3 linked regions of the Canis lupus familiaris genome follow. The protein of the gene in region 2 interacts with the protein of the main gene of each other region in a biochemical or structural test. Links are inferred from orthologs where the notes say so. Each region holds a gene or a part of one and is shown on either strand. Other genes may lie near its edges.

What was found.
Region 1: the proteins of OCRL (region 2) and RAB8A form a complex in vitro, tested with the Homo sapiens proteins (2 studies listed by BioGRID and IntAct, with this or other methods). The link is inferred for Canis lupus familiaris from reciprocal best matches to the Homo sapiens genes OCRL and RAB8A.
Region 3: the proteins of OCRL (region 2) and RAB5A form a complex in vitro, tested with the Homo sapiens proteins (2 studies listed by BioGRID and IntAct, with this or other methods). The link is inferred for Canis lupus familiaris from reciprocal best matches to the Homo sapiens genes OCRL and RAB5A.

What each region holds. Positions count from the first base shown.
Region 1 is NC_049241.1:46,756,070-46,766,071, forward strand, and holds the start of RAB8A (ras-related protein Rab-8A), read right to left. Parts: upstream 6,761-10,002; 5' UTR 6,752-6,760; coding exon 6,628-6,751; intron 2,140-6,627; coding exon 2,079-2,139; intron 223-2,078; coding exon 162-222; intron 1-161. UniProt on the Homo sapiens protein: The small GTPases Rab are key regulators of intracellular membrane trafficking, from the formation of transport vesicles to their fusion with membranes.
Region 2 is NC_049260.1:101,650,398-101,660,400, reverse strand, and holds the start of OCRL (inositol polyphosphate 5-phosphatase OCRL), read right to left. Parts: upstream 4,865-10,003; 5' UTR 4,667-4,864; coding exon 4,628-4,666; intron 4,360-4,627; coding exon 4,277-4,359; intron 1-4,276. UniProt on the Homo sapiens protein: Catalyzes the hydrolysis of the 5-position phosphate of phosphatidylinositol 4,5-bisphosphate (PtdIns(4,5)P2) and phosphatidylinositol-3,4,5-bisphosphate (PtdIns(3,4,5)P3), with the greatest catalytic activity towards PtdIns(4,5)P2.
Region 3 is NC_049244.1:23,812,337-23,822,029, forward strand, and holds the end of RAB5A (ras-related protein Rab-5A), read right to left. Parts: intron 9,257-9,693; coding exon 9,105-9,256; intron 8,805-9,104; coding exon 8,682-8,804; intron 7,061-8,681; coding exon 6,967-7,060; intron 3,307-6,966; coding exon 3,191-3,306; 3' UTR 3,164-3,190; downstream 1-3,163. Other genes in the region: PP2D1 (protein phosphatase 2C-like domain-containing protein 1), read left to right, coding at 885-1,672. UniProt on the Homo sapiens protein: The small GTPases Rab are key regulators of intracellular membrane trafficking, from the formation of transport vesicles to their fusion with membranes.

The sequences.
Region 1 (10,002 bases), on a different chromosome or scaffold from region 2:
CACACAGTCTTTTCCTGAAACTAACCTGGGACCAAGGACCTCTAGGAAGCCTGAGCATGGGCTCCCTAGAAGCTTTGGTATCCAGGCTTTGGTATCTGAGACAGTGATGTTCATTTTGACTTAAAAAAAAAAAGGAAAAAGAAACAAAAACCAATCCATACCATTGCGCCCCTGTAATAGGCTGTTGTGATCGTCCGAAACCGTTCTTGACCAGCTGTGTCCCTAAAGGAGAGGAAGGGATACTAGTAACAGCAAATAGGAATCACCATCACAGTGGGAACAATGGGCATTTACCCAGGATGGACACCCCGCTTTCTCACAGGTCTCACAGGTCATCTCCTGTGAGATTCACTGTCCTGCTGTGGGGCAGCAGCCTCATTCTCTGTTCTTACAGAGAAACAAACTGTGACTTGGAAGTGCTAAGGATCTGTCCTATTGGGCATAAAGTCATGTCCCCCCATGATTCCTCTGTTTCCTGGGGATTCTCCCTAGAGTTTCTAGGTCACCAAAGATCCAAGGTCAGATATCTGAAAATCCAGGGCCACATGGGTATAGGAAGGGCTGGTTACACGGCTGAAGGGCTGAGCTGGGCAATCTCACAAGGGCCCCAGAAGTACTTTTGCACTTGTTGTTGGGGTTGAGGCCAGGGAGAAAGTCCCTCATCGGTGCCGAGGTGATACCTTGGTAAGACACCCCATGCCCATCCCAGCATCTAGCAAGGAGGGTAGTCAGTGTTTGGGGTAAAGGGGACTTTACTGATTGGTGGCAGAGCCAGGTAAAGACCCAAAGCTTTTGTCTCTGGACCCAGGGTTCCTTTCACGACCCTGCACCCCCATCCTGCCCTGGGAAGGACTGCATGTCTGGACTGCACAGAAGTGCCTCCCTTGGGGCTCTGCTGACTTTCTGATGCCAACAGCAGGTGACATTAGTGGTTATGAATAGCCATTTTATTCTCAACCATGGCTCTAGTCTAGAAAAGCTTTATGAAAGTCACTAACCCCATCAAGATTGCTGAGAGCACAAGAAGGAAGGGAGGAGGAGAAGAAAGTGAAACTTCTGGCTGCTGCTAGTGTCACTTTGGACTCCAGGCACCCGAGGCTGCTGGGAGCCACGTGTTGCAGGCAGAGGTACTTCTAGGGCTTACAACTTAACTGACAAGCCTTTAGGCCTCATTCAGATTTTGACTCAGAGGTGAACACCATGAAAGCCAAGGAGGTGCACTCAGCAAGCAGGGTGATGCTTGCGCTCTCTGAGGCTGCAGTGAGGGAGACAGGCTGCAGGGAAGGTGGCTCTGTGGTCCGTCTCACCGCCTCCTCCCCACCCCCCTGCCAATAGGTGCTTGCTCAGACTGGGAGACTACACCACCCTCTCAAATAGGACTTCTCTTTAACTTTGCTCAGGGCACATACTTCCCTGTAAGTGATGTGGCTACAGGGTGGGACACCCCTCCATCTGACCAGCTCAGCTAGGCTTCCCTGGCGCCGTGGGCTATCAACCACGGTCAGCCTCAGTGACAGGGACTTACAATGCCTCTAATTTTATGTGTCACAAGAAGTCAGCTCCAGGTAAGCAGATTAGAAATGGGTCTTACCAGTGGGCCTGGCCGTGGTTTATTTTTGGTTCTGGGGTTTCAGCTCTGTTAGAGAAGTAAGGCCTGGGCTTCCCCAGGACAGAAAAGAGGAAGCGACATCTGGCCTTCTTTAGCGGGCTGATAGGCTCAAGAGGAAACGCTGGGCTGGGGAATCTTACTGTTCCACAGCCCTCACCACTGCCTGGGCAGAGGGAGTGCTGCAAGTTCAAGGGAAGCAGGCCTCCCGGAAGACTAGATCCAGCTGTGCCCACATCAGCATGTTGAGCTAACCAGGACCAGTGGCTCTGTCCCCAGAAGGTGCTGATGCAGACTCCAGGCCTCAGTAACCAGCAGGACACATGTTCTGGGGTTTCTGAAGAAAGCCTGACGTGTACAGCTGGGCACCAAGAGATAAGAGGCCATGGTCACAGAGAAGGGGAAGAGGCACCAGAGCTGCTGGTTCAAAGCACTCACGGGTTAAGGGGGTGATGGTGGCAATGACTCTTACCATATCTGTAGCTTAATTCTCTTGCCATCGAGCTCTATGGTCCTAATTTTAAAGTCAATTCCTGGAAGAAAAAAAAGGAAAAAAAAAAAGACACATCACTGTCAGCCTGTTTCCCACGCTGCATCTGAGGAGGGCACTGCCAGCATGTACAGGTAATAGCATCCACGGCTTATGGGGCACCTGGCCTGGCACCAGGCATGTGGGCTCTCCGAATCTCCCACAACAAATCTGGAGGCACCTGGAGAGCTTTTCCCTCTTGCGGCAGGGGAAGCTGAGGTTCAGAGGGCAGACAGAGCTGTCCAGAGTGAAGCCACAGGTGGCACAGCTAGCAGGCAAACCCGGGTAGGTCAGGTGCCAAAGCCTTGTTCTAGCCCCTCTCTCCACCCAGCCACCTCTCAGGAGTAGGCCTCCACAGAACGCTTTGCAAGCCAGAACCCCACACTTTCCGGCACCCAGCACCAGGCCCTGCAGGCACACAGGGCATGGAGCCCCCAGGACACCCCACAATGTCGCCCCCTCAGCCTCTGGCTTTCCCACGCGTTGGTCCTTCTCTGTGGGTGGTCCCCACCCCATCCACCTGTCAGCCTGACAAACTCTCTCCTTTAAGACTTCCTGAAAAATCACCTTCCAAGCTTTCCTGACTCTGCTTCCCCAAGTCCCCTTTCCCCATGCCCAGGGTGACCTGGTCTTCTTCAATTGCTCTCCAGGCTTCCATCCTCTCAATCCCCTCCCCAGCTTTCCAAACCACATTCAACCCTGTCACAAAGCCAACCTCTGTTCCAAATCTTCCAGTGTGTCTGCCAACGGATGGATGGATGACCCAAATGTGGTCCATCCACACTACTAGTCAGCCATGACCAAGAAAGAAGCCCTGACACACACTGCCACATTGACGAACCTTGAGAACATCACGCTGAGTGAGAGAAGCCATATGAAAGGTCACATAGTGTATGACTTCATTCTTATGAATTCTCCAGAACAGGCAAATCCAAACAGCAAGGAGATTATCCGTCGCCAGGGGTTGCAGGGGGACTGAAGATTCAGGGGGTTGACTAAGGGGCTTGGGGTTCCTTTTTGTTGTAATGAAAACGTTCCAGAATTGCCTGTGATGATGTTATTCAAACATGTGAATATATCAAAAGCCACTGACTTGTATGCTTTAAATGGGTGAACTGCATGGTTCACAAACTGTCTCTCAATACTGCTAAACAAATAAACAAAACAAAACAAAACTTCCACTGGCTTCCTACCAGCCCACTGGCCCCAAAATAAAATGAGAACAGTTGTGTGTGTGCTCTAAGGTCCTGCCACCTCTCCGCACTCAGGGCTTATGTGACTTTTCCCAAAATCCCAAGCACAACCTGGCCTCAGGGATCTCATGCTTGGTCTTCCCATTCTTGGGATGTTGTTTCCTTCACCTCCTCCAGGGAGCCTTCCTGACCATATTTACTCTCTCCTCTCGCTTTTTTTCTTCTTCATGGGCTTATTCCTGACAGTGTACATTTGTTTATTTGTTCCATGGATCTGGGAATAAAACTTGCCCATCTGAATGGCCTGTATGGAGGGCAAATAGCCCAAATCTCTGCCTGTGAAGCCTTGAGGCTGAAGCCTGGCTTGATCCCTCAGAACTGATGATGGGGATGCTAATTCCATCCCTGCCCCACCGCAGGGACTGTCCAGGCGACCACAGGGAATATCAGCCTGCACTTGAAATGTGTCCACTGGAACATAAGCTCCACGAGGGCAGGGACTCAGATGTCTAACTCATGGCTGTGTCTCCAATAACTTAGCATGGCAGAGGCCAACAACGTATTTGCTAGAAGCTGATCACCCAGTCCTTGCACACACACCTTGACTACAGGCCTTGTTACATTTGTTTCCCTGATTCATCCAAGTTATGCAGATGCAGACCGGCTGGCATGCAGTCATTCAGATGTGCAGCCCTGCTGGCAGCCAGCAGGCATTGGGGAAAGATGGCAGGACAATAGAACTAAGAGGAACGGGGTCTACATGGTGCTGCGTGGTTTACGAAGCACTTTGACGCTGTGCCATCTGTCTCCCTGAAGGAATGAGTGAATGGGACCCTGAGGAGACGTTGGAAGCTGAGCCAGGCTGTGAAGAAGCAATTCCAGGAGCCACGGGGCCAAGTTTACACCACAAATGATTGATGGAGCTTAGGAGAATAGGCTTTGGCAAAACGAAACGTGGGCAGGAAACGAACAGCCACTTAATCCCTGATCTATAAAGCAAGCCCAGAGGTACACTCAGCACCAACAGAGAATCACCTTTATCCAGTCAGTTTGTGTCTCAGGACTCAGGGGCCCAGTGCTATTCCTTCCTAAAACACTCCCCACCTCCTGTCACAGATGCACAGGGCCATATAAAATCAAGAAGCACCGTTCTACTGGCAAGGTTCCACAGCATCACTCTGTCCTCATCTCTTCCTGCATTTCATGAACACACCAAATATAATTAGGAAGTGTAAACTTTACAAGGCTAAGAATTATGAGGCCATTACTTCAAGGCCAGGATGAATTAAATTTTCTTAGAAGACAGAGACCTGCAGGAAAACTATAAATGTAATGAGAATGCCAAGGTGGGAGGAGGGAGGGATTCCGGGCTCAAGTGCGACCTGTGTCCCCAGGTGACCTGGCCCAAGTCATATCTTTGTCTGGAAGTGGAGGCCAGTCTTCTCAGAGCCCTAAAGTGCTAGACTGGGCTTTCTGGTTGAGAATTAGAAACCGAACAAAAAAGCCCAATCTCTGAATTGATCTCACTAGTGCCTGTACTGAACAGCAAGTTCCTGAGGCTGGGAAACTGAGGTCTGGGTTGAGGACGAGCCACAGCCTGCCAGGAGTTAACATCTCTTCCTGACCGGTGGGGATGGGATGCAAGGGTTGTCCCAAAGTTTGACCTTGGGGTGGTGGAAGGGGAGGAATCAGAAGCATCTGTGTCTAGGGAGGGGATGGTGTCACTGCAGGAGACATTCTGCTTCCTCCAGGCAGCCTCTGGCCATGATGACCACCTCTTATTCACTATATAGTTCTGATCCTCAACCATCCAGGGCACTGGCCAAGGCAGAAAGCATTAGTCCTAAACTGAAGGAATAGGACTCAGAGAGGCTAAGTGCTGGTTCAAGGGCAAACAACAGCTGGCAAGCAGGCATGACGATTTCCAGTGCGATTCTCTCCACTCTGCATCAGGAACATAACTGTAACGTGCAGCTCCTGGAGGAGGGCAAGGATGGAATGAGCAGCTCATCACGGGGTTCATAGAGATAAGGTGATTGGATTCAAGTTACACGGGGGTAAAGCAAAGCCTGGTGCCCAGGTTTTCCCCATTCAGAATCAACTCCTGAGCTTGGTGACCACTCTGCAGCAAGGCTGTGGAGCTCACAGGCCACGCGATTTGATCGGCGTTACTTCCAGGTCAAATGTTTTCACATGGGCAATGGCTGTTTTTGTGGCGTCGGGAGAAGTCAGCTCCACTTTTGTGGATATCAGAACTGAGAAGCAACAAGCCAATTCTGTTCAACCACAATGTGGGCTGGCCCTGTGGGAAAGGCTGTTCTGCAAAGTGACAACTGGTGTTCTGGGCCTCCAGATAGGGAAGTCAGGGCTGTCTGTGGCAGCGGCTGATTTTGGTTTGTCACTCAAGTTTTTATCTGGCATCTCCTTGGGGGTGACAGGTCCTAGGGCAGGCAGTGGTCACTCACCCTTGACACCCTCAAGTGATGGAAGTTTGGGCGGAGAAAGGCTCCAGACTCCTTCTCACCATTCCTTCTAGGAGAAATTCACCCATAGGGGAAACAGGGTCAGGGAGCCGGGCTTACCCCCTGAACATTCCAGAGGAAAGAGCAGGAGAGAGTTGGTTGAGAGTGCTGGTTCTCAGATGGACCAGCAGTGTTTGCCCTGGGGACCAGCGCTCACATCCCTCCGGCAGGATCCTGCCTTGAGCTTTCGTGTTAGACCCACATGGATTCAAATTCCACCTCTGCCACCTGCAGACGTGACCTTGGGGGAGTCCCCCGTTTCCCTGAGCTTCAAATTCCTCATGTGAGACGGGCTCATTTAGAGCACCTAACACAGAGGACTGGAAAGTGTGATAATGCCCATAAAGCGGCTAGCACACAGTAAATGCTTAATAAGGTTCAGATGTCACAGGCCTCTTCCGATGGCCTACTCCCCAAGCCTGTTTCGCTTCTGTAAGGCGGGGACCCCAAAGGAACAGCTTCGAAGGCTGCCGTGTGAACAGAACGAGACGACCGGAGCCGGGACCCCAGCCCGAGACACATACTTCCTGACAAGCAGCCTGAGGGGTGGGGCCTCAGTCCCCCCATCTGCAAAATGGGCACTTGGTTCGCCGCCTCCCCCCGCTGCCCGGTAACCCCCGGAAGGCGGCGGAGGCGGCTGCTCTCCGCCCCTCCGGCCCCCTCGACCCTCTCAGATCCCTGGATCCGTCCGGCCCAGCCGCTCCCTCAACCCCAGCCCTTCAGGGGCGCGCCCGGCCCGGGCCTCCGGCGTCCTCCGCCGCTCCCCGGCCCCGCTACCTATGGTGGAGATGAAAGTTGAGTTGAAGGCGTCCTCGGAGAAGCGGAACAGGACACAGGTCTTCCCCACCCCCGAGTCCCCGATCAGCAGCAGCTTGAACAGGTAATCGTAGGTCTTCGCCATATTACACTCTCTCCCCGACGGGAAGTGCGGCCAGCGCCTCGCCACTGGCCGCGGGCCCCGTCCATCAGCGCCGAGCCCGCCCCCTATTGGCTCCCAGCCCGCCGCGCGTCACCGCGGCCGCCGCCCGCTCCCGCGCCCCGCCCGTCGCGGGGAGAGCTGGGGAAGGGGCGAGCGAGGCGCGGTGCCGGAAGCGGCCCGAGCGCGCCGCTCATTGGTCGGCGCTCGGGACAGGGCGGGCTCCAATTGGCCAGCCCTGAAGAGTCGGGGGCTTCAAATGCAGCCCGGCGGGGGGCGTGGCCTCCCGGGTCCCCGCCTTCTTTCCCTCTCCCCCCCCCCCCCACCTCTCCCGGCTCCGGGGCGGCCCCGCCCCCCGGCGGGAGGGGAGGGCGGGGCACGTCGCCAACGGCTCCGCGCGCCCGCGGCTCGGGGGCGGGGCTTGGGACGTGCGTACGGGGCCGGGGGGATCGTTAGGCGCCAGCAGAGGGCGCGCGCGCGGCGGGCCCTGGCTCTCCCGCCCTCACGCCTGCGCAGCCTCAGTAGGCGCTGGGAAGAACGCGGGAAGGGGCCGCGCGGGTGGCCGCGTTGTGCGGCGGCTGCGGCGTCGGGCCCCGGCGCGCGAAGGGGAAGGCAGAGCCGGGGTCGAAGCGAGGTCCCCGCGAGACGTCCTCCGGGGCCTCGGCGCTGGCCAGGGGACCGCTTGGCGCTGCCGGGCCTCCGCCACCCGAGCCGCGAGGCCCTCGGACCTAACCGGAGCCTGCCCAGAGCCCGAGCGCCGGCCGCCCCGCCGCGGATGCAGCCCCGTGAGGATGCTGGGACGTGGCTCCGAGCTTGGTGTTGGCCTGCCCGAGTGGTCCGCACTGGGAAAACAACACCAGGTGGCCCCACTCCGACCCGCCGGCTTGGTACTGGGCTTCCCGCCCGTTGATGGGTTAGAAAACCGAGCTTCAGTGATTTCCCCAGGCTCCCGAATGGGGAACCGGGCCCGAGCTCAGACGCGCAGGCTTGGGAAGCCCGAGATGACCTGCGGGTCGGAGGTGGGCCGCGCCGTCGGGGGGTGCGGGCATCTACACTCGGATCTGGATCCGGGCGCGGCGGGGGGGGGGGGGGGCCGAGGGGGGAGCTTCCAGCGGAGCCGCCGCCCACCCTCCTTGCGGGTGTCTCCCGTCGCCCACGCCTGGCCCCCTCTGGGTGCTGCTCCTCGGATTGTGTCGCAGTCCCCGGGGTCCCCGCGTGTGCTTTAGGCGTTGCCGGTGGTCCCAGGTCTGCTGGCACCCTGGGGCAGCTCGTTCACTCTCCGTACAGGTGATTCTTTGAGGAAATCCATCCCCCAGCCATCCACCAGCCGCTTTCTTGGATTTGGCCCAGGGACTTCGACCTGTCTGGCAACTGAACATGGCAACTTCTACTCCAACGGGCCTGGCCCGAATTGCCTTATGAGTGAAGCCGAAGTCATCCTTGACCCTGCTCTTTCATCGTCTCCCATCTTGGTTCTAAGTAGTTGTTGAACCTTGCTCCTCTCTCCACCCGCCTCCCTGATGATTCTGTTCTCTGATCCAGATTTCCCTCCGCAGTGTACTCCTCCTAAGGCACCTGTCAGTGCCCCCCACTCAGGGTCTGTCAGGATCAGGTCTTCACACTCTGCTCCTAAGCTCTCCCTGCGTTCCACAATACACTTCACGGGATCTGGAACTCCGGGAGATCCGAGATCGGTTTAACAAACCCAGAACACTTCTTTATGTAGCGAGGCACCTGATTGACTGGAACAGTAGTATCCTGAGATTAGGTTGCAGCCCAAGGCGATGGGCAAGAGGGGGGAGAAGGAACTTCTGTCTAGTAATGGTAGGGCCCTTAGAGAAGGCAATTATACTTTAGTCATTGACATTCTCCGCATCTACCATCTAAACAAGGTCACAGGGACGCCTGGGTGGCTCAGTGGTTGAGCTGCTGCCTTTGGCTCAGGGTGTGATCCCCGAGTCCCAGGATCGAGTCCTGCATTGGGCTCTCCCCTGCCTGTGTCTCTGCCTCTCTCTCTCTCAGGTCTCTCATGAATAAATAAATAAAATATTAAAAAAAATAAGCTCACAGCAGCAGCTAAATGTTAATACTCAACATCAAGGAGATGTTTTTAATTGTACTTGGTGGCAAAAAAAAAAATGGTTTGCATACCACATTAGTTTTTTAAAGGCTTTCATTTCTCTTTTTGATTCCCTACCCCACTTCCCCAAGATCAGATCTTGAGGCAGATAGCAGAACAATTCAGGTAGTGAAACTGCAGTCATCTTTTGACACTTTTCTTTTTCAGGTCACCTGCCAGCTGGTCAGCTGTCTTAAGATTACTTCCTCCAGATCACTTCTTCCTTTTCATTCCACGGCAAGCACCATCTGGGGTTAATGGAGACATCTCCCTAACTGGCCTTACTGCCCACTGGTCTGCTCCCACTCTTGTCCTCCTTGAAAATAGACTAAGTGAATTTTCCTAATGTGTTTCTTTGTTGATTAGTCTTTAACAGCTCTCCTCCTGACCAAAGTTTTAAGTTCAGGCTTTCTTCAGTATGGACCCAGCTTACCTACTTCTTTCCTTTATATATGCAGGCAGGCCTTGTGCTTTCCTGACTCAACAGGGACCATTTTCCCTGCTCCTGTCTCATCCTAGTAAAATCCTAGTTATTCTTCACAGCCTGGCTCAGGCATGACTGGGTCTAACAAAGGATAGGGGCTTTTGAATTACTGAGGCAAAGTGCTCTCCTGAATGTAGAGATCATAATCCCCATATGAAGTCATTGTATAAAGCAAGGAACGTTTGTTAATAATCTTGGCACAGTTATCTTTCCCTCCCATCCCATTAACACTCATTGAACAGAGTACCTTCCACGTCACCCCCCCCCCCAAATACATTCTAAAGTTCACACAAATTATAGTTTATGTAAAAATTTATTTGACCAAAATGTAGAAAAAGTGATACTATTACATATGATACAGTTGCAAGAATCTAAATGAAAAGTGGGTTTTATTCAATTGCACAATTTGCTAGTGTACCTTTGGGTAGTGTGATGCTTAATAAATAGGAGTGAGGGGCAGAGGATTTGGATAAGCTAGAAGCAGGGTAATTTTGTCAGCATTGTAAACTTGAGTTGGCCCCCACACTGCTGGGGAATGTGGAATGTTTCAGCTCTGAGATGTTAATCAAGAAAGCAGAAATTACAACAAAGCCAAAATGTGCAGCCCTGCCTACAAAATACTCCATATCCAGT
Region 2 (10,003 bases):
CACCTCCTCTTAGCAGCTTCTCCTAATTCCCCAAAGAGGAACCAGTACCCTGATCCTCTTTGTTTGCCCCTTTAATAGAGTATTTATACCCTCCATTGCAGTTATACTTATTTCCCTCACTGATTTGAGCTCCTTGAAAACAAAGACCCTACTATACTGTTTTGCCTCCTGCTAATAGATGCTTGATAAATATTGGTTGAATAAATGAGCCAGTTTAAACTATAAAGAGATAAATTTCTTAACATAATTTGTTCAATCTGACATTAAAAAATGTCACTGTTTGAAGGGTTTTATTTCTAGTTTGTTGTCTATAAACTTCCAGTTATAAAATAAATAAGTCATGGGTGATTAAAATAAATAAATAAGCACGGTGATTACTGTCAATAACACTGTATTGTATATTTGAAAGGTGCTAAGAGAATAGATTTTACAAATTCTTACCACAAGAAAAAATTTGTAACTGTGTGGTGATGGATGTTAACTAGATTTATTGTGATCATTTCACAATATATATATTTATGAATGAATTTTTATGAATTATTTATTTAATAATTTTTTCAGCTTTATGAATTTTAGCTTAATGAATTTTTTCAAATGTGTTAACTTTAAAGGAGATATCATGGAGAAAGTAATTGCTTAGACAAACTAAGGGAAATAAAAATATTAATGCTGTCCTTCTGCTCTGATTCTGCTTATCTAATTTGCATGAGTTCATATTTTTAGGTGACTAGAAGAATATGGGGCAGGCTCCTTTTTTAAAAGATTTATTTATTTATTTTAGAGAGAACATGTGCACATGAGTTGGAGGAGGGGCAGAGGGAAAGAAAGAGAGAGAATCTCAAGCAGATTCCCCTGCTGAGGGCAGAGCTGGACATGGAACTCAATCTCAGGACCCATGAAATCATGACCTGAGCTGAAATCAAGAGTTAGATGCTTAACCAACTGAACCACCCAGGAGCCCTTGGGCAGGTTCCTTTCAGCCCACAAAGTTCATGAGTTGAGCAAAAAGTTCTATAAACCCAGATGAATATCAGAAACGAGATAAAGACTGACAAGGCAAGAGTGAAGGAAGAAGAGCTTACTTTGGAGAAAAAGAACACAAAACAATATAAATCTCAAAGAAATGAAGATGAGAAATACAGTATTGGACATTAGCAGTAAAACATCGACTGGATTGTACTGTTAAAAGCCATCATGACGGATGCCTAGGTGGCTCAGCAGTTGAGTGTCTGCCTTTGGCTCAGGGCGTGATCCTGGAGTCCTGGGATCAAGTCCTGCATCGAGCTTCCTGCATGGAGCCTCCTTCTCCCTCTGCCTGTGTCTCTGCCTCTCTCTCTCTCTCTCATGAATAAATGTATAAAATCTTTAAAAAATAAATAAATAAAATAAAATAAATAAAAATAAAAGCCATCATGAAACAGACAACATGGATGGACCTTGAGGACATTATTCTTAGTGAAATGTGTCAGTGAAAGACAAATACCATATGATCTCACTTATATGTAGAATCTAAGAACAAAAACAAAATCCCTGAAATCACAGATACAGAGAACAGATCAGTGGTTGTCAGGGGGGGATGGGTTAAATGGATGAAAGAGGTCAAAAGGTGCAAAATTCCAATTATAAAATAAATAAATCATGGGGCTATAATATGCAGCATAGTGACAACGGTCAATAACACTGTATTGTATATTTGAAAGGTGCTAAGAGAGTAGATTTTTAAAATTCTTACCATAAGAAAAAAATTGTAACTGTGTGGTAATGGATGTTAACTAGATTTATTGTGATCACTTTACAATATATACAAATATTAAATCATTATGTTGTACACCTGAAACTAATATGTCAATTATGCCTCAATTTAAAAATGCAACTTCCCCAAAATCCATCACAAAACAAAGATAAACTTGGAATTTAAGTCAATTCCCTAATTTCTGCTATGTGTTAGTCACCAAATAAATTGCAACAAGAATAGGGCTAAAAATAAGTATAAAAATTCTTCCTAAATGTAATCATTACTTTCAGAACAGGAAGATGAAAAATAATAGGTATATGGCAAAAAAAATAGAAGTTAGAATTTGGTAGTTGTTAAACAGAAAAGAGTAACAAATTGTGAACGCGGACAGCATTATCCATAAGAAATACTTTACTTTGTTCAAGGAATGTTAAAGATGAAACAACAGGTGGCATCAAAATCCATTTTCCTTAGAAAAAATGAATACTGTTTGACTCTCTATCACAAAAAAACCCTTATTTTTAATTATAATTTTATTCCCTCAACCAAATTTCTCCAATGGTTGACAGCAGGAACTACAGAACCAAAGATTATAACAGGCTTCAATTTCTGGGATAAAAAGACCAAAAGTAAAAAAAGTTCTGAGAAGAACCCAAATCAGGGAAGGTATCCATGAGACAAGAATCTGAGGATTATAGATAGTATGACAGTATTAGGTGTCCCCAACAAATTATTTCAAAAGAAACTTCTCAGTGTAATTCTGAAATTTTACATGGCTTCGAATCTCAAGTATGCTACTTCCTGTGAACAAGTGACTTAATCTCTCTGTGCCTCAATTCCTATATCTAGAAAAGGGGGATGATGATGAGAATATTATAATTTCACAGTAACCCTCACAGGAGAGTTAAATGAAGTGCTTAGAAGCAAGTGCTTAGAAGAGTACCTGGCAGATACCAAAGCCATTAAGTCTTAGTAGTTGATATACCCTCGTGCCTTAAGCAGAAATGGAACATAAGATTTTGATTTCTTTGTGAAGAGGACACAAATAAGAGAGCTACCACTCCAAGTTTAAAAGTTCTCCAAGTACAGGAGGCCAGATAGAACCAAGCATTTATCTCAATGCCAGCTGCTCACTTCTGTAATAGCTAACTAGAGCTCTAAACCTATCAAATCAAGGAACCACATCCTAGGCTGCGGTCTTCTCAACCACAGAATTTTATTTAATACTCCTCGTTTTGTTTTTACAGAAGAGGAAACCAAGGTGCAAAAAATTTACTGATTTATCCAAGGGTCACATCTCTCCATCTCATTCTAGCCTTTGGAAGTGGCATTGGTATTCCACTTTTCAATTCACTTTTCTGTTGCATTTACTATTAAACCAGTCTTCCAGGGTTTGATGAAATCTGGGGAAAACAACATGAATTTACCATGCTAACAACTGACAGAACAGGACCTAGGGAAGAGCTACTTCATAGGCCCAATTGGCGTCCAGGTAGAGTCGGATCAAGAGTCTCAGAAAAGGGCAGGCTAGGTTAGTTAGTTAGGAATTTCTTCTGTGTTAATTAGACAGCATAGACACACTCAGTCTGGATGATCTAAAAGCAGAGACTGAGAACAATTGCTTTTAGGCCGAATCCAACGTTGGGAGAAGACGGGATATAAATGAACAACGATTTTTAAACTCTGATGTCGAGAAATCAATCAACAACCAAGGCAGGTGGCTTGGGCACACAGGAATAGGGTCTATGATATGTAAGTGGTCACCATGGATACTTTCAGGATAAGGCATTAGTGGAAAGGGAGTGAGATCAGCAGCTAAAGTGATAGCCTTTCAAAATAATCTTTTATTCAATCAGTCAACAGTATTTACTGAGCTTCTGTATGCAAGGCAGAGTGGAAGATAACACACACTGATAAAGTGCCAAAGGTTGTTTATATTTCTACACATTTCATTACTTTTTCTATCAGTCAAGTCAGTAAGTGAGGCAGTTACTGGCCTACACTAAACCATTACTGAATTAATATAAATGCCTTCAAGCAAGTGTAATAAGGGGGTGGGGAGACTGGAGGAACCAGTTGAATGGGGTTAAGGCACTTCTGTAAGGTTTCTATAATACTTTTACTTTTTGCAAACCACTTTTGCATTTCTTATTCTTCCAGTTAAAACTTCAAAGCCTGTTAAGTCAAAGGCAGTTAATGTTTTTATTTAACTGATGAGGACACCAAGGCCCGAAAGCATTACTGACTTGCCCAAGGTTACACAACACATGTCAGTTGCAGAGACAGGAACTAAAAACCCAGGCTTCCTGCTTCAACGCCCGCCTGTTGAGTCCTTCCACTGAGCCACACTGCCAGGAGAGATCTGGCGACTTGGAAGTTGGGGACAAAAACCCCAAGGCTACAGCACTCGCACTTCACACCTGTGCCTGAACCTGTTGCCCACAAGGCTTCAGGGGGAGGAGGATGGGTGGCTTGTCGCGGTTTGGGGTTGGGAGGTAATGGCAGGCTCCCCTCCTCCGTGGGAATCAGGTGGTTACTTACTCATATTGCCCGTTCCTTTGGGCTAGCGTCAGGGCGCAGGGCTCCCGGAGAGTACCCTTCATCTCCATACCCTCGATAGTATGCAGGCACTAGTCAAGGGTCTCCTCCAGATGCGCGGCCAGGGAGAAGTGGCGCGGTGCGGGGTAGAGGGAGGCTCCCACCCCCCTGCCTGCCCTCCCCACTGCCCAAGGCATCGCCTCCCGCGCTGGCCCCCTTCCCCCGCTCGGCTGGTCCTCTGGGCCCGACCGCCCCCTAATCACTCCACCACGTTCTGCACTTCCCCCCGACCCCCACTCCACCACCACCACCCCACCTTGCTAGCTTCCCCTCCCCCTTCCCTTAGGCGGATACTGCAAGGGGCTGGGCTCCAACCGAGAGCGGCGGCTCCATCCCTGCGGACTCCGGGCTCGGTGGGGCTGCGGGCTGCGGGCGGATCCGACGACTCTGCCTCCAGCGTCCTCACCCACCGTCCTCGGCTGCGCGTCGTTTGGGGGAACAGCTCCGCGCAGAGCAACGGGAGCCTGGAGCCGGGAGCGGAGCCGAGAGCCTAGAGCCCGACCCGAGAGAGAGCGGCGCCTCGCGCCCGCGCGGGTTTTCCAGGCCGCCGCAGATTTCGCCCCCTGCGGCCAACCTGCGGAACTGCAGGGAGAGACCCGACGGACCGGGGGCGTCTCGACCACGTCCAAGGAGGAGTGCGTTTTAAATGCTACCCTGTGACACCAGAATTGTTCTGTGGGCTTCGAAGATTGCCACAGAAACAAAACACAGCCATACCTATGAGAGAACTCAAATGTTTTGGGTCAATAGGACCCACATCATACGGAAAAAAAAAAAAGTCCTCATTAAAGTTATAACCTACCGTACTGGTTATCCTACCTCTCAGATGTTTTCCCCTTCTTCTTCCTTCCACCAAGTAAATAGAAAAATCCCCAAAGCTCAGATCTTTGCTCTTCCTTTGTGCCCCCCCCCCCCAGGTCCTCTCTAAGCAGACAACGACCAACTACACTTCCCAGGCCCAGCCCCCTTGCTTAACATATCCCACTGTGAACACAATCCTGAATGACAAAACTAACTCATCATTTACCACAGCCACTCAGGCTTGAAACTTCGAAGCCATGTGCTTTCTTCCTTTCTCCGAATTTATCTGTATCTAATTGGTCAACAAACGTTATTAATATTTTCTTCAGAATTACTTCCAGATTCCCTGTTTTCTCTCCATTTGCACCCCCATCACTTTACTGGTAGCCCTTGTGATCTCTCCTTTCACCATTTTGCTCTGTTGATAATCATAAGAACATTCTTCTCATAGTAATGTTTCAATTGTGTTTTTACTTGCACGAGAATCTACAGTGGACTAGAAAGCAAGACTTCTTTCAGAAGAAAATAGAAGAATATGTTTATGAGCTTGGAATAAGGAATAAGAATGACTACTTAAGACACCAGACAGTAGGAACAATAAAGGAATTGATAGATACATTTAACTACATTAAATTTCAAAATGCATGTACTTCAAGACAATGCAAAAAAGTTAAAAAACAAGCCATAGATTGAGAGAAGATATTTTTGATGCATTTAACTGATGAAGGATAACTTATGAGGTTCTACACTTCTAGCTGTCATCACCTTACAGAATTCTCTCCCACCACTCTTGGCAACTCACTCTGCGTAGTCACACTGCTCCTTGTTATTCCTAGAACTTTCTAGGCACACTCTTGCTTCAGGTCCTTTGCATTTGCTGTTTACCTGTATTCTCTCCACCTTTGGGTCTTTGCTCAAATGTCACTTTCTCAGTGAGGTCTCCCTAGACAACTTTATTTAAAATTGCAATTCAGGGCAGCCCAGATGGCTTAACCTTTTAGTGCCGCCTTCAGCCCAGGGCCTGATCCTGGAGACCTGGGATCAAGTCCCATGTCTGGCTCCCTGCATGGAGCCTGCTTCTCCCTCTGCCTCTGCCTCTGCCTCTGCCTCTTTCTCTCTTTCCGTGTCTCTCATGAATAAATAAATAAAATCTTTAAAAAATAAAATAAAATAAAAATAAAATTGCAATTCCAAAAAATGCAATTCAACAATTTCCTTATCCACTTCCATAAAAACATGCCTCTTCATTCATCTTCCATGTTCATTTTTTCCCATAGGATCTATTACTCTCTATTGTTTTATTTATTTTACTTATTAATTTTGTCTATTGTTTACCTTCCCCCACTAGAATGTAAATTCCATGAGGGCAGAAATTTTGTCTGTTTTGTTCATAGCTGCATTCCCAGCACGTACAACCATTCTTGCAACTAAGTATATTGATTTGTTAAATCCAATTTAATCAATATTAAAAATATTGATTGAATTAACAAATGAATTAGTGTCCAGAATATATAAGAACTCCTATAAACTAGTGAGAAAAAGGAAGAAATCTAGTTTAAAAATTGACAAAATACGTGAATATTTTGAATAAGCAGTTCATAGTCAAAGAAACCCAAATGACCAATAAAGACATGAAAAGATGGGGGCACCTGGCTGGCTCAATCTGAAGAGTATGTGACTCTTGATCTCAGGAGTCATGAGTTCAAGCCCTGTGAGCCCCATGGTGGGTGTAAAGATTACTTAAATAAATAAAAACTTTAAAAAAAGACAAGAAAGGATGTTTCACTTCATTACTATTTGAAGAAACTGAAAACTAAAAGGATGAGATAGTTGTGGTGATTTCACAACTATTGGTTTGGCAAAATTTTAAAATTCAGATAACACCAAGTGTTGTTGAGGATGTAGAACTGATGAAACTGATCTGCTGCTAAAAGGAGCATAAGCTGTTAGAACTGCTATGAAGAGAAATTTGACATTGCCTAATAAAGTTGAATATGTAATATGCTTCAACCCAGAAATTCCATTTCTAGGTATAGACCCGGGCAAAACTCTAAACTTGATGCACAAGAAGACATGTAAAAGAATGTTCATTGCAGGGGCACCTGGGTGAATCAGTAGGTTGGGCAAAGGCCCTTGGTTTCAGCTCAATTGTGATCTCAGGGTCAGGATCTCAGGGTTGTGGGATCGATCCCCACATCAGGCTCCACACTCAGTGCAGAGTCTGCTTGGGATTCTTTCTCCCTCTGCCCCTCCCTGATCGCTCCCCCCAATTGTGTACATGCACACACACACACACACACACACACACTATCTCTCAAATTTTAAAAAAAGAATGTTCATTATAGCACTACTTTCAAAAAAGGGAAGCAAATTAAATGTCCATCAGCAGGTGAATGAATAAATAAATCACAGTATTCATGAAGTTAAATACTATTTGGAAACTAAAATGAATAATTTGAACTATGTATTAACAGAGTTACATCTCAAAATATAATGTTGAGCAAAAAAAGGAGAACATGTGCAGTAGACTACTTATATAAAGTCTGAAAATATTATCTGTTGCTTATGGCTACATAGATATAATAGTAATAGTATATAAAACATGAAAGGGCATAATCATCACCAAATTCGAGGGAGGGAGTAGATTGAGACTAGGGAGGGGCAGACAGGGTATATCAACTATATCTATAATATTTATTTCTTTAAACAATCTGAAAGTTGATGTTGTAAGATTTGATAGAACTGGGTGGTGGGTATATATATTGGTTATATTATTTTATGCAGCTGTCTGAATTTGAAATTGTAATTGATGAAAATGAAAAAGAAAGAAGTAATATGTAGGGGAGGGTTAGCAGTGTCAACTGCTGCATGGAAAAATGAGGATGAAGAGTCTTTTTGGATGTGTCAAGGAAGTCACTGGAGACCACTAAGCAAGTAGTTTCAGTAAGTAGTGAGGATGGAAACAAGATGACAGGGAATTGAGAAGGGACTATATTGTGAGGAAATGGAAACAAGATCCCATGTACTGAAGTGGCTTGGAAATACAAAGGAGTGAAATACAATTTTAATTAAATTAATTAGAAGAGTCAAACAGAAATTCTTGACAAAACTTGAAGTCATTTATTTTATTTATTTATTTATTTATTCATTCATTCATTCATTCATTCATTCATTCATTTATGTATTCATAAAAGACGGAGAGAGAGAGAGAGGCAGAGGGAAAAGCAGGCTCCATGCCAGGAGCCTGATGTGGGACTCGATCCCGGGACTCCGGGACTCCAGGACTCCAGGATCATGCCCTGGGACAAAGGCAGGCGCCAAACCGCTGAGCCACCCAGGGACCCCCCTTGAAGCTATTTTAAAGCAAAGGGTAAGGAGCCAGAGAAGAGGGAGACATTTAAGATACTAGAAGAGAGAAGCCGAAAAGTTACAAGAAAAATCCCCCAGGGGTGCCTGGGTGGCTCAGTCGGTGATGCATCTGCCTCTGGCTCAGGTCATGATCTCAGAGTACTGGGATCAAGTCCCTGTTCTCCCTCCCTCTCTCTCTTTCTTTCTCTCTCTCTCTGCCCACCCCCCACTTGTGCTCCCTCTCCCTCAAATAAAGAAATAAAATCTTTAAAAAAGAAAAATCCCCTAATGATTGGGAAGGATAAGGATCCACAGATGGAGGAATCAACTTTAGGGAGGAGGAGAGAGATTTCTTCCTCATCATCTAAAACAGTGCTCGGCACATAGTGTGGTACTCAGATATTTGTTGTAAAGAATAAGAAGTTGTGAAGAAATGGAAATATATTGAAGTGAGGACACTAAAACTGGTTTCTCACAAGGGGGATGATGAATTTCTCCAGAAAAAGTAATAAGTGGATATTACAATAGTAATTTAACAGTAATAATCTTGTGGTTAGGGACACCTGGTGGCTCAGCTGTTGAGTGTCTGCCTTTGGCTCGGGGCGTGATCCCAGAGTCCCAGGATCGAGTTCTGCATTGGGCTCCCCATAGAGAGTCTGCTTCTCCCTCTGCCTGTATCTCTGCCTCTCTCTGTGTGTCTCTCATGAATAAATAAATAAAACCTTTTTAAAAAATCCTGGTGGTTAATGTTGAATATTCATATGACAGACACTCTCTGCATGGATTTACATACATACTTTCATTTAATCCTCACTAAATCCCTGTAAAGTAGTAATATTATTGTTTTCCATTTTAAAGGTTAGAAAATTGAGACTTGGAGACGGTAAGCAACTTGCCCATTAACTAGTAAATGTCAAAATCAAGATTCAAACTTAATGTTTGTCTGAGTTCAAAGTCGAACTATTTGACCAAACACATTATGCTGTTCATTCAGTATTAACAGTACCAACAGTGTTTATCAAGAACCCTCTTTGTGTCAGGCATTATGGTAATTGCCTTACCTGAATTATCACATTTAATTTGATGAAACTGAAGTTGAGAGAGAGGGCTTGGGAACTTGAATAAGGTGGAGAAGGAAGGAACAGGTACTACTGAATCCAGAAAAGTTAAGGGATTTTTTAAAAGATTTTATTTATTTATTCATGAGACAGAGAGAGGGAGGGAAAGAGGCAGAGACACAGGAGAGGGAGAAGCAGGCTCCATGCAGGGAGCCTGACGTGGGACTGGATCCCTAGTCTCCAGGATCTGGCCCCAGGCTGAAGGCGGCGCTAAACCGCTAAACTACTGGGGCTGCCCAAAAGTAAAGGGAATTTTAGAGGAGCGCCTGGGTGGCTGTCTGTTAAGTGTCTGACTTCAGCTAAGGTCCTGATCTTGGGGTCCTGGGATTGAGCCTCATGTTCAGCTACCCACTTATTGGGGAGTCTGTTTCTCCTTCTCCCTTTACCCCTCTCCCCACTAACG
Region 3 (9,693 bases), on a different chromosome or scaffold from region 2:
CAGAATAATTTATATACCCTTTTATAAATGATAAATGACTCCATATCAAGAAAAACTTATTGCTTATAAACTAAAAAATTCTGTGAATCGTTTTTTAATAAACCAAAGAAAGTTTTGGTATTACAACTATCCCTCAATCTGTTCAGAATACTGTTTAGATTTTCTTAAGATTTCAACGAAGCACACATCACAGGTTCATATGAACCATGAACAAATTACAATCAACTTTTAAGATTTCAGTTTTCAATCAAAGGGTTTAATTTAATATTGGCTAGCTATTATCCATTTAACACATTAATAATACATATGGATTTTTCTTTACATGGCTAATCGATTTAATTTCTTTTTAACCACACAACATGAAACTATTAAGACTGACATTAACAGTGGCATTCTAATTTTTTTCATCACCCACACCTATATATATGTTCAGGTTTTAACTTTTACCAGTTACAAAACTATCAAACTCCACTTAAAAAAAAAAAATCAATGCTTGTTTTTAATTAAAAAGGCATTTATTTAAACATTTAAAAAATGTCTGCCCTATGGAATATATGTTGGTCATAAAAAAGTTCAACTCTTGGATGTATAAATATTCAGCTGTTTCATAAAAAATTGATGGTTATTTTTTATTATTTGTAGTTTTAAGTTATTTTAATATTAAGTGCAGTATTTTGAACACTAAGTTACTTAAAAATGAGGGACAAACTCACCTCTCAGTCAAATCTTAATGACCATAAATCGCCCAATATTAATATTTCACATATGTAAAAAATATTTTAAAATGGCCTATTTATGCACTGAAACAGAATAAAGTTAAAAGCGTACTTTGATACAATTGGTCACTAAATCTCTAAGATCAATTTTTTCTAATAATCTTCTAGGTAATGTACAAGCAGTCTTATGCAGAAATGGAAAAGGCTTTTGCATAACCAAAGAACACACTACGAGAAACATAACTGAAAGAAGAAGATTACTTAAGAATGGAGCAATAATTAGTTCAAATGAACCATATGGGCTCCTAGAAGGGCAAATAAAAACCACACGAGGACTTGGATTTCATGGAAATCTCAAACTGAAAAAATCCATTATCCCAGCACCTCAAACTATCTCTGTCCCTATCGATGACTTATGCCAATTCCTTATCTTAGCTACTAACGGACTCTGGGAAGTTTTGGATACAAAGGAAGTCACTGCACTGGCAATGACAATGTTTCAAGTATATAAAGACACCTACTATTGTATCACACAAAATCAATCTTTACCATCCAAAGAGCCTTTCCTAATCAATGAACTAAGCAATACTAAATCAGAAAGTAATATCCATATATTGTTTCAGTATAAATCTGAATCTACAGAATGTGTGCCAACTATAAATACAAAAGAAAATTTGTTTGATTCAAAATATTCTAACCCTAAAAATGCAGAAACATTTCCATCAGAAATGACTAATCATCATCTATACAGTGAGAAAGAAAGAAATGGACCAACCAGTGTAGATGTGTCAAAAAATTCAAGTGAAAAAGAATCATGCATTAAAAATTTCTATGAAGGTGCAGCCAAGTATATTAGCCATGAACTTGTAAGTGCGGCTTTAGTGGCTGGATCCAGAGACAACATTACAGTCATGGTAATACTTCTCAAGGGAAGTGAGTATCAGTTTCTGACATAAAAAGATAAATTTCTGATTATCTAAGAGTACAAAAATGTAAAGACAGTTCTTCAAAGAACCAGATATTAGGATAATACATCAATACCACACAAATTTTAAAGAACATATTAAGGAAACTATAAAAGCATTATTTTAGGTTACATGATACTATTTATATATATATGTTCACTGTTCCATGCCAAGAAAGAGAAAAACCAGTACTTGCTTTTTATACCACTTTATTCCAACCTGAGCACCTCAATATAAAACTAAACACTGGTGAACTGTTTTCCTTACTAATTCTGAATTACGGTAAATGTACAAGTTCTGCTAGCAGTTCAACACTTAAATAGATTAAATCATCTCTGACACATGGTAGATTTCATATAATGAAAATACCTAAAACAATTAGTGCAATATACTGAACTGATCAAAATAAAATGAACTCTGGAAAACAAGGCTGCAAGACTGTTACTAACATACTGCAATAGTTATGTTACAAATTACTGGTACATTGTTTATTATGGTTCTAGCCATGTAGGAACAACTGAAGCCCCTTCCTTTCAAAGGGAGAGAAAAGGAAAAATTAGCTGTTTTAGTAACTGTACATTTTGTATACTTTTAAGCAACTCTTAAATATTACAGGAAAGTAATAAACATATATGGAGACTACAGTGCAGTACTCTATTTACAGTACAGCTGAAAATTGAATTTAAAATAATCAAGTTTGAATGTACATAATTGTTAGTGCATTGACTATATTATGTCCAAAGGGAACAAAGGCCCCCTCCCTGCCCCCAAACAACAAAACCTATGTAATGGCCAGCAGTGATTAAACAGAAATCACAGACACCTGGTTTGTTTCATTTCTGTTGAAGAGCTCACATGTTTGAAGGGAACACTATCAAGATGCATTCAATTTTCATATTCCTAAAACAAGATGAGGTTACGTTTGACCTTTTTTAACCCACTAAAAATACCAAGACTGGCTATAATTTAGATGCCACTAATGTTTGTGTTTTTCTCCCTGAAGATGTGGGACTGTTTTCTTGTGGCTAATCTGTTAAAATGTGGAATGTACATTTTAAATATGCATACTAAGAGAAATTACCAGTTTCCTGAATACTGTAGCTAAGCATAAATATCTTTAGAACTTCCTTCTAAAAAAAGAATGCTTTTGAAAAGCCCAAATTAATAAGTTCCAAATCTTTTACATAGAAGTGGCTGGTTAACTGTGGGTTTACATCATTTGTCTCTATCCCTGGTGATGAGAAATGATTCCCCTAACCGTCCAAGGAAACAAGCGTACACACACAGCTCTCATTCCCCCCTTCTACTTCTGAAATATTAGTCAGAGGGTCACATGCATGTTATTAAAAATTAAGTTCAAAACACTTAAAATAATTCTGTATTAGAAACTTGACTCTATCGTAAGTCTCTTCTTTTTGGAAGTCATACTGGGCTGGTTAAATGCTCCAATTCCACTGTCATTAACATTTAGGAAGCAGAAGAATATTCCAGGAAGTTCAAACTGGAGGTTTAGTTACTACAACACTGACTCCTGGTTGGCTGCGTGGGTTCAGTAAGGTCTACTCCTCTTCCTCTGGCAGAATTTGCTCCTGGATTCTGTGGTTCGTTCTTTGGCAACTTTTTAGCTGAGAGATAAATTATCAAAATAAACACAATTAGTGGATTCATATTAGAATTACTTTCATCTGCTTAATCTTTTTTTTTCCAGCTAGGTTGACCCAAACTATCACACAGCTGTATGTTCATTCTTTTCCAATTGCTTACTAAATATCTACTAGATAATACCAAATACTCTTCATTCGTCAGTCCTCAGTGAGGTTAGTGGGATAAGGGAAGGGTAAGATAGGGAACAGTTATATATAATTAAAACTTAAGTTGACTATATTTAATTTTTTACATATATTCAGTTAGCAATACCAGAATAGTAGTACTTTTATTTCATAATCTTTAATACTTCTATTGTTTAAAGAAAATCTAAGTTAATAAAAAAAAAAAGAAAAAGAAAATCTAAGTTAATAAAGATGATGGCCAGCCAATTATTTATAAAGAATCTTAGCTTGTATCAATGATCTCCGGACTGCCACATATACTTTCTGGAACAAGTCAGGATATAAACAACAAATGCCATCACTGTCACCCCAGCAGTACTGGTCCTCTATCATGCTACCTAATTATCACCCCAAATTCTGACAGATCACATCTATTTTCTTCTGGCTTACACATACTTAACTCTTCAAACATCTACCATGCTCCTCATTTATGGATGATTAAAAACCCTAATCCGATTCACTAGTAGCTCTGCCTCGTCTAAGGAAGACTTGATTCTGAAGTCTCTACTTCAAAAAATGATTTCCAGTCCTGAGCTGGATGATCTTGGCTTGTCACATTTGGACAAAGCCCTCAACTAGCAGTTATGGTTTTAGTTCTACTAAGCTTTATATAGCTAATACAGAGTGCTGGAGCCTGGATTCCACTGATTTAAAAACATACCTGTTAGATACAGTCTGCTTTGAATCTTAAAAATCCTTCATGTGCTGGATTCACTAAATATTAACTATCTCTGAGAATACTGACTGTAAGTGTACTAGATACACTATATCAACCTTGGGGAGAAGACTATTATGGGTGAATTCTAGCTTTACCTTACTATTGGCTCAGGTTACACAAAAGTTGGACATGCTCCACCTTCAATATCTAAATGTCTAGTTGCACTTTGGATCTTTTGTAATATTCCACACGAACATTAATCATCTTTAGAATCCTAGATGCTGGGCTAGGCAATGGAAGTTTGGGAAGAAAAGCCTTCACCTTCGACTACTTCTCTGGAAATGGCACTAAGGATGGAAGGGTAAATGGTAATGAAGTAGCAAATTTCCAGTCAAATACATTTTCAAACAAAGGTTTGTAGGGACAAAGAATAGGCTAACATTTATAAACTTTATTATAATTTATATTTTGGACTAAGAGATCATTTCTCTTTTCAATGGGTCTTCTGTAATTAGATCTGAGTGAAATTACGAGGTTGAAGGAAATAAACTAGAATAAGGAACTTTTAAGCTTCTATTTGGTAAACTTACACTGTGTGAAAATAAACTAAAATACAGCTTAGAAGTCTCAGAAGCAGCCCTCTATCTCTATCTCATATCTTATTTAATATTACCAAAGTAAAGCTAGTACTACTTGTTTGGTATATGGGCAATTGGAGCTTACCATCTGCCCCTGAATTAGGATCTTAAGAGGCTAAAAATCCAAATGAAGTTAATGAAGATGTGCAATGAAAGAAGTCATGTAAGCAAAATCTTATCAAATTGAAAGCAGATTATAAAATTATTGTAGACTTTCTCCTACTAAATGACTATATTCTCTTTTTTTTTTTTTTTTTTTTTTTTTTTTTTTTTAAATGACTATATTCTCTACAGGAAATCATCAAGAGTAAAAATAATGAGTGTACTGTACTGTGTGATCTAAGTTACCTATCTGGTAAACAACTAGAAAGGCCACAATTCAATTTAATGCTTGGTATTTCTTTCAAGGAAAGAAACATTGTAATTTCAGAAAAATAACTGAAAGTTCTAATATGTAGGCTATCTTCTGATTGGAAAAATATATTACCAGCACATCTAAATAAAAGGATAAAGTCCATATGCGGGTGCCTGGCTGGCTCAATCAGTACAGTGTGACTCTTGATCTCCGTGTCATATATTCAAGCACCACATTAGATGCAGATTACTTAAAAAAATAATAAGCAAGCAAGCCCATCTGGTGGTATCTTAGTACTATCAGAAAAGTTTAAAGTTCATTCAGCCTGATTTGAGGCTATTATTCCCTTGATTTCTGTTACTGGCTTTTCAGATGTGGTTCTGAATGTAATTTTGTGTTCTATTTATAAAAAGAGCACATTGTCATATAATCCTCCACAAGTATTTCCCTAATAAACTTTAAGCCTGAGTTTTTCAGTAAAATATTTTACACAACAGGCAATTTTTTTTCCTAATGAGCCTAAATGAGCTACCATTAAAACTCTCTCATCTAGTGAAAGATATTTTAACAGTACTTGTAGCATTTACTATATTTTCTTTAGCCTCTGAATCAGCTGTTAATTGGTTAATTTGTATGACTTCAATAAAAGGACTATTTCTTATTTGGGGATAAGTTTGTGGGCACCCTAGTTAATAATCATTGCCATATAATAAACATATTTTGGAATGAGAAGAGTGCTTGGTGCATAAATAGTGCAGACACAGTAAAATGCAAAAGCCACCCAAGTAGCCAATTCTCACAGAATCCTCACCTTAAGATTGTTGAAAGGAGGTTAGGATCAAGAGAAATACTTTTATTTTTGTTACAGAAAATAGGAAGCTTCCTTATTAGTGTTCCAATTTCATTACTTACAATCAACAAACGTGGAATCACAATCTTAACACATAAAATTACCTTAGGGAAAAGGTAAGAGCACTGCATAGGTTAAATGATCAGAGGTAATATGAAGCATGTTATTTTATTTTCCGTCTTTCTGTGCCTCAATAATTTGAAATTTTGTTACAATATTTGCATTATATTTGTCAATAATCAGTGATTTAAAACTAATGTGAGAAACAAAAATAGTGTTTATTCATGGCAAAATAGAGATGAAAATAGTTACTGATCAGTGAGAAAGTAATCTCTTTATGTCTTTATGTTATGCTGATAAATATTGTTCTGAGCTTATCTTCCTTTCATGTAAAAAAGATAATCTAATACAAAAACTTATTTATCCAAATTTCTCATTGAAATATTTAGAAAATCCATCTGCTTGAACTATTAGCTCAAAGTCCAGGCTTTCAATTTACCTAGAAGAGACTTAAACTGAAAAGTATTACAACTTAATAGATAATAAACAGTCTTTCAAATTTAACATTACTAACAAAGTAATTCTTGGTGGAAAGGATCTAGAATAGTAGTAGAATCATTAAAAAAATGATTACTTTTAAAAATACTTCTCAAAATTATTTACCAAAAAAGTAAGTATTTTTTTTAAAGATTTTATTTATTTATTCATGAAAGACACAGAGAGAGAGGCAGAGATACAGGCAGAGGGAGAAGCAGGCTCCATGCAGGGAGCCCGACGTGGGTCTTGATCCCAGGTCCCCAGGATCACAGCCTGGGCCAAAGGTGGCGCCAAGCTGCTGGGCCACCGGGGTTGCCCAGAGTAAGAATTTTTAAAAAGAAGACAGTCAAACCAAATATGCTACAGTGTAAGTATTATTGCCTATATCTACTGCTTGGAAAAAAATTAAAAAACTTACCTATTGCCATGAATATTTCATTTACATTCATCGATGTTTTAGCTGATGTCTCCATGAATAATAAACTGTTGTCATCTGCATAGGACTGTGCTTCCTGTTTATAAAACAAAAATATGATATATATCCTTTGCACATACTATAGCTGACTTATTTTTGTTATAGAATAAGAGGCTTCCTCATTACTACTCCAACTTGATTACCTAGAATTAGCAAATATATAATAATTAAGGTAAAAGAGGTAAGAGATCTTTTGTAGGATACCTTTTCAGTTCTTTTGCCTTAACTTCCTGCAGTATCCCCATTCTGATTCACCTAGGCTCACACTAAATTTGATTTCAAATAGTAAGTGCCAGAGGTTGGAAAACTGTCTATTCTAAACATAAAATTCTCTTTGATCTCAATGGCAAATTTTATTTATGCTTATTACTTTCAATGAAGTCAAAGGGAATCCAAATATCTAATGGCTATATTTTAATTCTTAGTATGTCATAAATCATTCCTTTAAAAATTATATTACTAGTCTACATTTTTGTCATGATTTACAGTTTGCATGTATTATTGCCTTTGATCCTCACAGTTGTGTGAAGAGCAACCAATCATCTTTCCCATTTAATGAAAAAAATGAGGTTCCTTTGAACTCTTATGTGAGAAGGCCACTTTTGACTGTAACTTATAACTTAATCTTACTTCCCACTCTATGCTGGGGAGATAACCATCTTAGAGAATAGATATTATACCCCACATGACAATAACTAGAATTAAATAAAATCACAGGTGCAACTTGCTCAACTTACTACCTAAAGGTGCAAGAAATATTAGTTCCCTTTCTCAGTCTATGTATTCCATCATAGCCATCATCAAAGAGAATTACCCTATCATTCATTATATATGTGTGTGTGTGTACGTATATATATATATGTGTGTGTGTGTGTATGTGTGTATATATATATATATATATATATATATATATATATATATATGCCACAACAAACTTCTCTGAGAGGTTGAAGAGGAAGAGAAAAGGGAAAGTTTAAATTAGAGACATTTGTTTTTAAGTAATTGTACTTTATTTTGTAGCAGGGAACATTCTTGGTTAGCTATATTAAATAACATATAAAGTGGGTTTTTTGAGCCTTTATTTTTGAAGGCCTATTTAAGAACCACATATGTGTAAGCTGTATATGTATATGTGGTTATGTATATATGTGCTGATATAAATACTGGCAGATAAATAAAAAGGGATACTAAAATATGTATGGGGTGGAGGGATTAGGGTAGGAGGCAATCACCTTTTGCTTTATATATTTCTGCACTATTTGTCAACAATTACTTCTTTTATAATTATTTAGGTCAACAAAATCTTTTTTTTTTTTTTTTTTTTTTTTAAGAGAGGTGGGTAGGAGGGAGGGAGAGAAAGAGTATCAAGCAGTCTCTGCGTCTGAGATCATGACCTGAGCCAAAACCAAGAGTCAGATGCTTAACTGACTGAGCTGCCCAGGCACCCCGCTCAACAAAATCTTTGAATCAATTTATATACACAATTATGTAAAGACATTTAAAAATTCAGATTTATCATAAGAAACATATTACATATAGTAGATCCACATTTGCACAAAAATTTGTTTTCTATTCTTTCACATGGCTTTAAAATTGTAACTAATTCAAGTGTAGATACAGAAGAAAAATTTACCATACATATGTGCCTTCAAACATACCTGGAAATCGACAGCTCTTTTATTTGCAAGATCAGCCTTGTTTCCTGATAAAGCTATTACAATGTTAGGACTGGCTTGCCTCTGAAGTTCTTTAACCCAGTTTTTGGCTCTGGCAAAGGACTCCTTGGGAAACAAAGAAACAGCTATTTGGCACAGGCTCAAAAAATGGTTAGGAAGTGTCTTTGTAAGACAAGGCTTTAAAGACTCTTCAATGTGACTCTTGGAAAGAAAATCTTAGGACTATTGTATTATTTGAGACACTTTAATCTTTTTTTAATCAGCTCTTCTAAACTCATAAAAACTTTGGCAGAAATGTCATACTTGGCTACCAAAAAAAAAGGGTCTTAAAAAATCTTTAATCAAAATTGAGTATCAAAAATGTATATTCAAACTAGTTACAATGTAGAATACATTTCTACTTACCTCATTTGTGATATCATATACAACTATGGCTGCTTGTGCTCCTCTGTAGTACATTGGTGCTAAGCTATGGTATCGTTCTTGACCAGCTGTATCCCATATTTCAAACTTTACTGTTGTATCATCAAGACACACAGTTTGGGTTAGAAAAGCAGCTGAAAGAAGAAAATATCTGTAATAAGCTGATCAGTTCTCCCCTAATATTTTCATAATACAGAAAACACCTGGAAACATGACATGACATATTGCATATACACAGTTAATAGTGGCTTGTGATACTTCAAAGATCTGTGCTTTAGAGCTTGATACACATATATGCTTATGTAAGACCTTTAGATTAAAATCACAGATTCAAAGATTTTTCTACACTCTTAATAAGTTTATTGTAATAGTAAGTTTAATACACATTTCTTAAATTGCTTTACACACTGTAAATTTGAAATTTTAAAACTTTAAAACAATTTAAGAAAAATACTGATATTCTTGAAAAACTGCATGGAGGTAGGTGGAAGAGAAAGGACTGGCATACCTGTAACTACCATCTACACTGTCAACACAATGCCTCCTCCTCCATTCTCCTGATATTTTTTGG